Drosophila melanogaster: one gene and its partner. The gene in region 1 interacts genetically with each later gene. Each region holds a gene or a part of one and is shown in the gene's direction. Other genes may lie near its edges.

Evidence for each region.
Region 2: of Trpgamma (region 1) and Calx, changing one suppresses a phenotype caused by changing the other (phenotypic suppression), as found in Drosophila melanogaster (one study listed by BioGRID).

What each region holds. Positions count from the first base shown.
Region 1 is NT_033779.5:16,673,517-16,678,715, reverse strand, and holds the start of Trpgamma (transient receptor potential cation channel gamma), read left to right. Parts: upstream 1-2,014; 5' UTR 2,015-2,145; intron 2,146-3,163; 5' UTR 3,164-3,293; intron 3,294-5,199. Other genes in the region: her (hermaphrodite), read right to left, coding at 1-73, 135-398, 467-1,333. UniProt on the Drosophila melanogaster protein: A light-sensitive calcium channel that is required for inositide-mediated Ca(2+) entry in the retina during phospholipase C (PLC)-mediated phototransduction. Forms a regulated cation channel when heteromultimerized with trpl.
Region 2 is NT_033777.3:20,976,398-20,981,225, forward strand, and holds the start of Calx (Na/Ca-exchange protein), read left to right. Parts: upstream 1-1,785; 5' UTR 1,786-2,723; intron 2,724-4,828. UniProt on the Drosophila melanogaster protein: Na(+)/Ca(2+) antiporter that couples the energy of a Na(+) electrochemical gradient to the movement of Ca(2+) against an electrochemical gradient across a membrane, which contributes to the regulation of cytoplasmic Ca(2+) levels.

The sequences.
Region 1 (5,199 bases):
GAAAATCTGTATCTGCATCGCCAGCTTTAAGGTCCTTCTTGAGTTCCGCTTTGGGACTTATGTGATGTACAGCCTTTAGTGATAAAAACATTGTTAGGAAAAGTTCGTTTTTTTCGTTTATAGTTCTTTCTTACATCCGGCGTACTCCAACTCCAAGCCAGATCGGTCAGCGATGATTGTTTTATTTTAACTGGTTCCTCTCCGCTCAGCATTGGCACAAGAAACTCATCCTGCTGATCTTCTTCGGCAAGGGACATGGCCAACTCATCGTCTAATTCGTCCATTTGCTGCTGGACAGAAATTGAAGTGCTCTTTATGGGCAGCTCCAATTTTGTTGGAGCTCCCGGCGGTGGATCTATTGACTGGAACCATCGCAACTGGCCATCAACGTTGACAGCCTGCAAACATTGTAAATGTTGTTAATGATTGAAGAGCGAATTTAACAACTACATTTTGCAATGCTTACGATGACGTGCTTATCCCGGATGTCTCCATGGAGAATCTGCGGGTTGCTAATGGTGATGATGGGCGGCTGCTCCTCCTCCTGCAGTTCCTCGTAAACAAATTCCAAACTTTCCTCGTCGTATTTCATACTGCCTACCAGGGCTTCTTTTAAAGGAATATTTCCGTGCTCCAGCTGCTTATTCAGCACAGGACTCTGGTCCTCCAGCAACTGTTCTTTCTTTTGCCTTTGTTTCGGTTGCTGATCCCTCAGCATTTGCACCTTCTGCTTTTGGTCCTTCAACTTTAGATTCTTCAAATCCTGTTTCTCTGTGATCTGATATTTTAGCTTATGTTCCTTCAGCATTTGCTTCTCCAGCAGCATCTCCTGGCGCAGTTCCTCCGCAGTTTGAATGGCCTCCTCTATGCCCGAATGGCGTAGCTCGTGGTGCCGCTTGAGATTGGCCTTTCGGTCGGAGCTGTAGGTGCAAAGGGAGCACTTAAACGTCCTGTGGCTCTTCTCCGGATTGTTGTGCACCATCAAGTGGCGCTTGAGGTCGTATGGACGATTTGTCTCGTATCTGCATCCCATCACCAGGCACTGCAACTTGGCATTGCGATCCTTGTGCTGCGCTTCCGGAGGGCGCTTTTTGCACCCAGGATGTTTGATAGACACGTGCCGCTTCAGGTTCGACGCCTTGTCGGTGTTGTAAACGCAAACGGGGCATCCGTATAGCTTGGACTGCGTAATACCAATGTGGGACTCCTCATGACGCGCCAGATTGTAGGGTCTGTTCGTCCTGTAGGGGCACCTGTCCACGCTGCAACGGAATTTCCAGGCCGAGCACGATCCATATTCTTCCTCCACCGAATCCCGATCCGCACTAAGCATTGCAAAAGTCCACAATAAGACCACAATATTATTAATGCTACAGGTCTAGCCTGGTGTTTGGATATCTTGGGAACACACTCATTTCGGTGGATCACTAAACTATCTGTTTTGGGGTAAACAAACTGTCCGTATTTTAATTAATTTTAATTACATGTTTGTTTGTTTAGAGCACATATCGATTACTGTTCGTTGATATCGATTATTCAACAAAAGTCACGGGATACGAAATTCACAACTACCGCAAAAAAAGTACTGCAAAGATTATTACAGTGACAGTGTTCCTAATCGCTGTTATGTTGCGCGGACTTTTTAAAATTGCTGTAAAGTGAGGTTTTAACAAATTGGGAATAAGGAAAAAAAAAAATTTGAGAACATCAAGTAGAAAAGGGAATATAAAATCTAAAAGAAATTCTTACCTTCCACCAACGGTTTTTTTCGCCCATGCAGAAGCGACCTGCACCTCGAAGAGGTCATTATCCTTGCCGCCGTTTTACTACAGGACACATGCGCGCTGCATCGCCTGCAGCCGGCTTGCCGTTTTCATTGAGTTTTTGGGGCCACCATTGAATAGAAATACCCCCACAGACATTTAAACTCGGTTCAGAGTTCGTCTGGTCTGTAGGAATCGGTTTTGGGATCGGGAGTCCTTGCACTTTTTCAGCTGTTTCGACTTTTTCACTTGCTCAGTTGCAAGTCGACTGCTGGCCAAGGCGCACGAGAAACTCGGAAAACAGCGGGCAACCCAAAATACTTTTAATTATTAAAGCCAAAATTATTTGGCCAAAGGCAAAAGAAAAGCTCGAGCAAAGAAAGTAAATTTCAAATAAAAAATGGGCTAGCCACTAGTCATTTGTGTGTTTGTGTGTGTTTCTGTGTTATTGCCTAGGCCATTAAAATAATTGCACAAATATATCCGGTTATGCTGCCCCTGCAAAAGCAACAGGGAATACTAAATAAATAAACAACCCCCAAAAAAAAAACTCGCTTTAATTGGTTAGCCAACGCCCCCGCCCAATGCTTAATCCCCCTAACCGAAGTTTTTCCAAGCCCACAACTGTGTTTGCCGTTCTAAATTGGCATAAATTCATTTATGGGTCAAACACCCTCTTAAAAGTTACCAAACCGTAGAAAAAAAATATATGAAAAAGTACTTGAGTGTGTTGGTGTGGTGGTTTTGGCTATGAGTGTGTGTGTGTGTGTGTGTGTGCACTTCCGGTTGCAGAGCACGAAACGGAAATATGCAGTGAAAAGCCCCTCCCAACATGTTACAAATTTCAAATTGCGCAAGGTTATTCCAAGTGAAAGAGAAACCTCCAAATACAGATCCGCAATTATTCCAAAATATTCGAAAATTTCGAAAATGAACTAATCGGCTAGCCTAGCCTATCACCCACTCATTAGTCAGTAAAAACGTGCAATTAACGCCAAACAAACCAATCATGAAAATTAAATGAAAATATTGAAAACGAATTTCGCTGCAAATTGTTTATAATTCAAACGATATGTTTTTCATCTTTTTCGCGCCGTTCCTCCCGCAAACGTAAACAATTAAAGCAAAACGTGTCGGGGAAATCGTATTTAGATGCTCTTGCAATTATGATATATAATGACAAAAATGTGATTACTTAAAATCAATTACTTAAATATAGAAATATTTGAACAAACTTATAAAATTTCATTTTAATTATGACAAGTTTTATAATAAAAGCCACTACTATATGTATACACCAGATATTGCTAGAGTATAACACTTTTCGAAAATGAAATCCGATTTCGTGAGAGTTTCAAAGTACGTGGCATCAATATTTTTATTTTTTCGGATGATTTCAGCTATTGGCTTGGCCGGAATCAGTTTTCAATTTCGTTTTGATTTTCGACCTCTGACCTCGTTGCTGCACTGGAGGTTCTACGACAGCAAACTCGTTCAATTGCCGCCCTCAAGAGGAAATCTCAACTCAAGGTGAGTGAAGGTGTGCCCCGTACACAGGGAAATATTCTCAGATACATTACTACATTGAAAGGGTTATGGATAAAAAAAAATAAATGATGAACCAAGTGTGAAATGGCTTCCTTCTAAGTTCTGCTCCATTTTATTAACCATTGAACTTCGTTTTAAAATAATAACTGTCAGCTAGTGGATAACAAATAACCCATTAGTATTCCTTTTATTGAAAAGTTTGCATATTTGCTGCCTGAGTAAAAGGAAAACACTCGTGTTTTGTGTGATAAAATTGATTACTTTGTTGCTCTGCTCCGGCATTGTTTGCCCAGTGGCCTTTGACCCTTTGTCCAGGTTGGGTACTCATACTCAATCTCATCCTCATTCCCATTCTCGTCGGCATTTGCATCCCCATCATCGTCCTGTCGATGACTCTTCAGTGTCCACTTGTGCCAGTTTCTCGATTACCAGATGCAGGGGCTTCTATTCTAAGAGGTGGAGGAGAAGGTCGCAGGACGCACTGCGTCCAAAGATTTTTCATCTACATATTTTCATCTGGGTTCAGAGGAAGCTGGAGGTGTTGCTAGTCGACGCTTGTGTTTGATTAGCTTAATTTAAATGAGGCAAATAAAAGAGGAGCTGAAAGCAAAGACTCAATGCTGCACAAATAACAACAATTCCGATTGATTAGTTTGAAAGGTGCTATTAGAAGCATACGCTTTTATTCAATCAAGAAATCAATGGAATCACAATCACTTGGATTCTTCATTTGGCACGAGTGCATTCCCCATGGCTATTCAAAATAATTTAAATCTAAAGTAAAGTTCGTATTTTAATGTGCAAGAATGTATTAAATCAAAGCCATATGATTCAAATAAACGAAAGTTTACCATAAACATGGCAAACAAAATGATATTTTGAAAACATGAATGAGGCAGTAAAAATAGATAAGTAAATTTATTGATAGAATTAATTCTGAGAAATCACAGACGGCACATTAAATCGAAAGATATTTTCCAGTTGGGTTATAATTTATAAGATATCGTTATAAATTTATGGAAGGTAATATAACTCGAAGAATTCTTCGTCTAGGACAACCTTTATATTGTGTTTTAAAATCGAACTAACTTCCTTTCTCCAAAATCTTGCGCTAAGAAAGGGTTCTTATATATTTTTTATATGCCAGTCGCGTTTCGTGCATTACTGCAAAACTGGAACCGTAAGAACGAGTTAACCTACTTTCTGGTTTCAGGTGTGTGTTTCCACGGGCATTAGTGCTTGTGCTGGGTGCATACAGTTGCATTTCAGTTGTTTCATGCATGTAAACAAACAAACAGAGGCACAAACACCAATGCAACGGCGAACACATGCAAGAAATTTGATTCATTTGCATGTTGCACCCCCAACAAACACAGATACACACACACACACAAACGTACACGCCCCACTGCACACAAGCGTAACTATAACAATCCTCGCATAAATACTGTGGAGGTCAAAATAATAATAGTAAGTTAAGCAATTGCAAATTTTCCAGTATACTACATTAATTTCGTATTCATTTTCGGAGTTTTCTTTACTACAAAAAAGAAGTATCTACTAATTTTAAATGACTCGAATTGAAAGATAATGAATACTTTATAAATACAATTATATTAAATAGTTGTTTGTTTAATTGCAAATATATTTCGGTAAATTTACTTGATTTTTGGACTTAAATTGTTTGAATCTTTAAATATATACATTTTTTAAACTGCTTACTTTTTGGACACAATTGTAAAGGTGGCGTGGGGCGGAGGACAGTTAAACAGCTTTTAAGCGCAAACAAAATCCACAAACGGAAGGGGAAAAGGGGTATTGAAGTGGTGAGTGGGTGAGCGAAAGGGGGCAGAGGGAAAGGGGTGCCTTGGGGTCACCGCAGGCGAGT
Region 2 (4,828 bases), on another chromosome or scaffold:
TTGCTATTATTCATTCATTGAATTGAGTTGTCGTGCCAAATAATCATACACATCCGAAATAAAAATCGCGACAGTTTTATGCCTACACACCAACTGGAAACGAGGCTATAAACATAAATATATTGCTCATACGCCCCGTGTTCACCCCTGCCGAATGAGTTGGGATCCGTAACGAAAACAAACAGAAAGCGGACGAAAAAAAATGGACGCCAAATACAAGGTAGCAAAAGGTTGTGAGCGCACACACTGGCACACATGTTCCTGTACTGTACTGTACTTACAGCAATGGCGTGCAGCGTTTGCTTCTCTTTCGCTACTTTTGCTGCTTTCGCTGCTGCTGTTTCCATTGCTGCGTTTATATGGCCATAAGGCTAACGCTATTGTCGCGGCAGGTCTCTCAGGGGCAACATGGGGAGGTCGTTGCGACAGCGGCAACATTTGGGTCTTATTAATTTCCGTTTTGCTTATTTATTTTTACGACGCCTCGCACAGCTCGCCATTCGGTTCGCAGTTCTGGGCCCGTCAGCAGCCGAACCGCCGAGCCATCCAGGTCCCCAAATTCTAACGCAGTCGCCATAGTCAAAAGAACATTCGTAAGGAATTCCACCTTTAAAGCCCCGGTGATACCCTACGATTATTTAGAGAGGCATATTACACAACCGTAGATGGGGAGTACTAAAATGTTAATTCATTGCTTAATTCGATTGCCTTAATTTGCTGCTTTAGCTTTGATTTAATACATGAATTATAATAATAGAAGAGAAGAAGATTACTTTAAATTAGGAAAACTGATTTATAATTAGAAAAAAAAAACTACAAAATATTATTATTTAACTTTTTAAGTGAAGTTTTTATGGCGCGGTATTAAAATATGTATAGGTATTAAAATAAAATGCATAAGTGACTTGAAAAAGTTCGTAGGCGTGATGCTGCATAGAGAGCCAAGTAAAAAGGCGCAATCAACTAAATCAAAATTATACAGGGGAAAGCCATTTATCCGGTAAAACACATACCAATTAAGTTATTTTTAAAAGCTGACTTCAATGCGATCAAAAGCTTTCTAGCCAATTTGAGTTGGAATTGGCGATGTACTTCTCAAATTTGGTTTTGAATATAAATAAATATATATATTTAAATAAAATGTATATGTTGAGATCAATACTGTACTTCAACGCGTGAATAATATCATATTTTAAGCTTAAGAAATTATAAAACAATACAATTTTCAGAAATAAAAGATTTGGCCACGTGAACCTTTATTGGGTGTTGAAAATTTATATTTTTTTGCACCCCGATCTGCTAGTAATCACTTTCCCTAACGGTGCTTATTGTTAATAGACTATTTTCCAAGCATAGAGTACAGCAACTTGTTTCCAACCGACTTAACAGGGGCGTCAAAAACTTATGCGCTTGCTTGTCTAAGACAGCGGGTGGTAGAGGAGGGGGTGTGGGTGTGGGCTATACTAACCAGCAATGCCTCTACACCACCCTCCCCGCCAAACCTTTACACCCCCTGCGAAATGCGCCACTGCAACGAGAGGAAGATGGGGAACATCGGAGAGCGACAGCGAGAGAGAGCGGCGCAGTTGTTATCGCCTGGCCAGTGTTCCACTGCCACTCTGTTCCTTATCCTGTGCACTTTCTTCCTTATCTGTCCCGCTTTCACCGCCCTCGCACTCGCCACTCTCACTCTTCGTGTGCATTTCGGGTGCCCTTCGTGTCGCGACAATCGGCATTTTTAAAGAGGCAGTCGGCCAATGTGGCAGTCGGTTACTGGCTCGCAGGTTAGTCTTTCATTATCCGGCGTTTGAGCGTGTAACGTTTTCTCCGTGATTTCCACACGCAGCAGCGGTAAATACAACAACAACGACAACGAAAGAAGCAACCAAAACAATAACAACAACAATAGAAGAGAACAGCGGCAAACGGTTTTTCGCTGCGCTTCTCCTATTTTAAGTGCCGAGCGTTTTACTATTTTTACTACACAGCGAAACATACACAGATACACATATATACAGAAATATATGTAGGTATTTGTTGATGTGTTTGTTGTGCTTCAGTCAACAATAAAAACAAAAACAGTGTTTAAAGCTAGTGAAATGATCTTCCATAAATAAATTTTCAAAATTAATTTGAGAGCAAAAATGAATTGAAAGAAAATGCCAAGAAAGTGCAGCAAAAAATCAACAACGATGCTGTCGGAGAGTCGAAACTAGGCTAAATATCTTTGCATACTTTTGGGAAAGTTGTGCGGTACAAACACACACACCCGTTCGTAACACACACACACAGGACCTGCGCCTGCGGTCGCCGACTTTTGAACCTGTTTTCTGACCATTGACCATTGACCACCGACCGCCGTGCCGGCCGCCTCTTTTCACTTTTGGCAACGCGGACTGCAGCAGCCGCTGCAAAAAATGCAACTGTAAAGGAAGCTGCAAGAAAAGGAAAGGATGTGCACGAAAACGGCATAAACCTACAAAACTAGCCAAAAGAGTTCAGAGCGGTGCGGTTCAACAGCCTCCGGGTGTTCGTGTCAAGCTCGAAATTCGCAAATTCGGCGTCAGCTTCGTGCATCTGTATCTGTGTATCTGTATCTATATCTGGTGCATCTGTGTGCGGCCATTCTGCAGTTGCAGCTCTGCAGCGGCGAAAATTGTGTCAGCAGCATCGGCAGCGGATCCTGCAGCTCGCCACACTGGCGCCTCCATCTCCGATTGCCGGTAATGTATTCGTTTTAGGCGCATTCTACCCAAGCACGACTTAATCATACGCCACATGTGAAGTGCCGTGCGGTATGGCTAAGGCATTACGCATACGCCCCGTGTATGTGAGTATGAATAGTGCGGGCGGTCTTACCTTGACAACGGACGGGGGCAGTCCGTGACAATTGTCAGTTTGTTTTCCCATTTTCGTTTTTCTATCGATTAAGCCCACTGGCCCCTCGTTCGCCCTTTGTCTGCGAATTAGCGACAACTTCTGGGCCAAGCAGCATATGGCTATGTCCACCGTCTTTGTCTAACGCCTAATTGAGTCTTTTGTGAGTATCAAGAGACGAGCAGCACCGCAGAAGAAAAGAAAAGCAAATGGGGAATCCAGTTGACATCGGCATAAGTTCGAGTTTTAAGTTCCCTTGTGGACAGCTGGTTTTTGGGCTTTCTCGACTATCACATACCATAACTGCAATGGACTTTTTTTGGATCATTTTTCAAATTCTGGGCGTTACATATTTTCTTGATCATGATCGACTCGGCTTGTGATCCGGAAATGTATTTACTGTAGAGGATATAACTAACTATAAATAAAGCTGTATGGCATCCTAGCTTTGATTCTTACACGCTGTAAGAAACGAATGTCAGTAAGGGATATAATGTTAACATTCCAAAAGGCACGTCTCCCATATGAACATATAAAGTATATTAAGACTCCCAAGAAAAAGTAAAGAACTTCGCCAGAAAACGTTAGGCTTATGATTTCAGATTTCAGAGCATTAAACCACAAATGATTATTTATATGAAGTATATTTTACTGTCCCGCTTAGATGAAATTTTTCGCTTATACTGTAGACAGTGCCTAAAGTATCATGCCATCTGATAGGGTATCCATAGAAAGGAACCAAAGAAAACAATCAACACGGAGACTAGTAAACAATTGAAAAGCAAAAAACCCGCGACTCCTGCCCAAGTCGGCCAGCCCCTTGAGTTCTTTTTTCATTCATAGGACGATGGGTGGTAGCATTTGCCTTTGTCAATATCATTCAAGCTTTCATTCGCTTCACTTGCCTGACATTTGCTTACCATTTCAGTTTAGAGTTCACTTTGTTTCCCTTTGTACAAATAAATAGCCATTTATTCATTCACTCGGTTAAGGGGCTCCTTTTCACTGACCAATGAATGAAGGAAGGTCGTCCCATAAGTATTTGTCAATTGGACACAAGTTACAATGGAACTCAGTTTGGGGCTTTATATCTAATCAAACTAAATGGCAGCCATTAACTAGCTAGCTTAATCAAGTACCCAACATCAGCATGACTCGAAGCACTCAAAATGCTCGATTTTCTGATTCTGATAAGAGGAATACCTCGGGTAATTTAAAATTGAGTATGCAGCATATTCAGCGAAATGCAGAAAATCCAGATGAAACAAGATTTTGGAAAATTCATTTAATTTATGGCTCCGTCAATTAAAAGCAACAGACCACACAGCCAAACCGCAGTACAGCTCTCAGATGAAAATTCAGCGCTTTAAAGGCTTAGAGAAAAGTGGCAGGCACTCAAAAGCTTAGGCCTTGCATACGTAGCAGCCGCAAACAGTGGCGAAAAATTCTACTTTTTTCCATTTTCGGTGTGTGGGGCGACCAACTTTTCTAACTAACAAAAAAATAAACCGCGCACATGTGTACACAAAAGAAACTCGACGAAGAAAACTGCAAATATGTAACAAGATTCGGTCATGTTTGATTCATGAAACCAGCAGAAAGTTCCAGCCCCTCACCCAATTGAACAACAATGGTGAAATAAAGTTACAGTTGCTGTGGCCACGGCAACTGGAAGCCAACATTTCGCACAATGGCGCAGAATCAGCAGCTTTAGCAGCTGCCGTGCTTCCGGAAAAAATAGAGCCCCAAAAAGCATACTTTCGAGTGTAGAGTTTATGCAGGATTCCGTTGCAGCAGAGTTAATCATACATACGTCCTGACAGTAACAAATCTCCAGCTACGAGGCATAAATAAAAAAAAATTCACCCAGCTTCGCTTTACATATTTTCCTGTTAGATTTACCGTGTATGTGGGCATCAAATTGCGCATACGCCCAGTAAGCCGTCCAGAT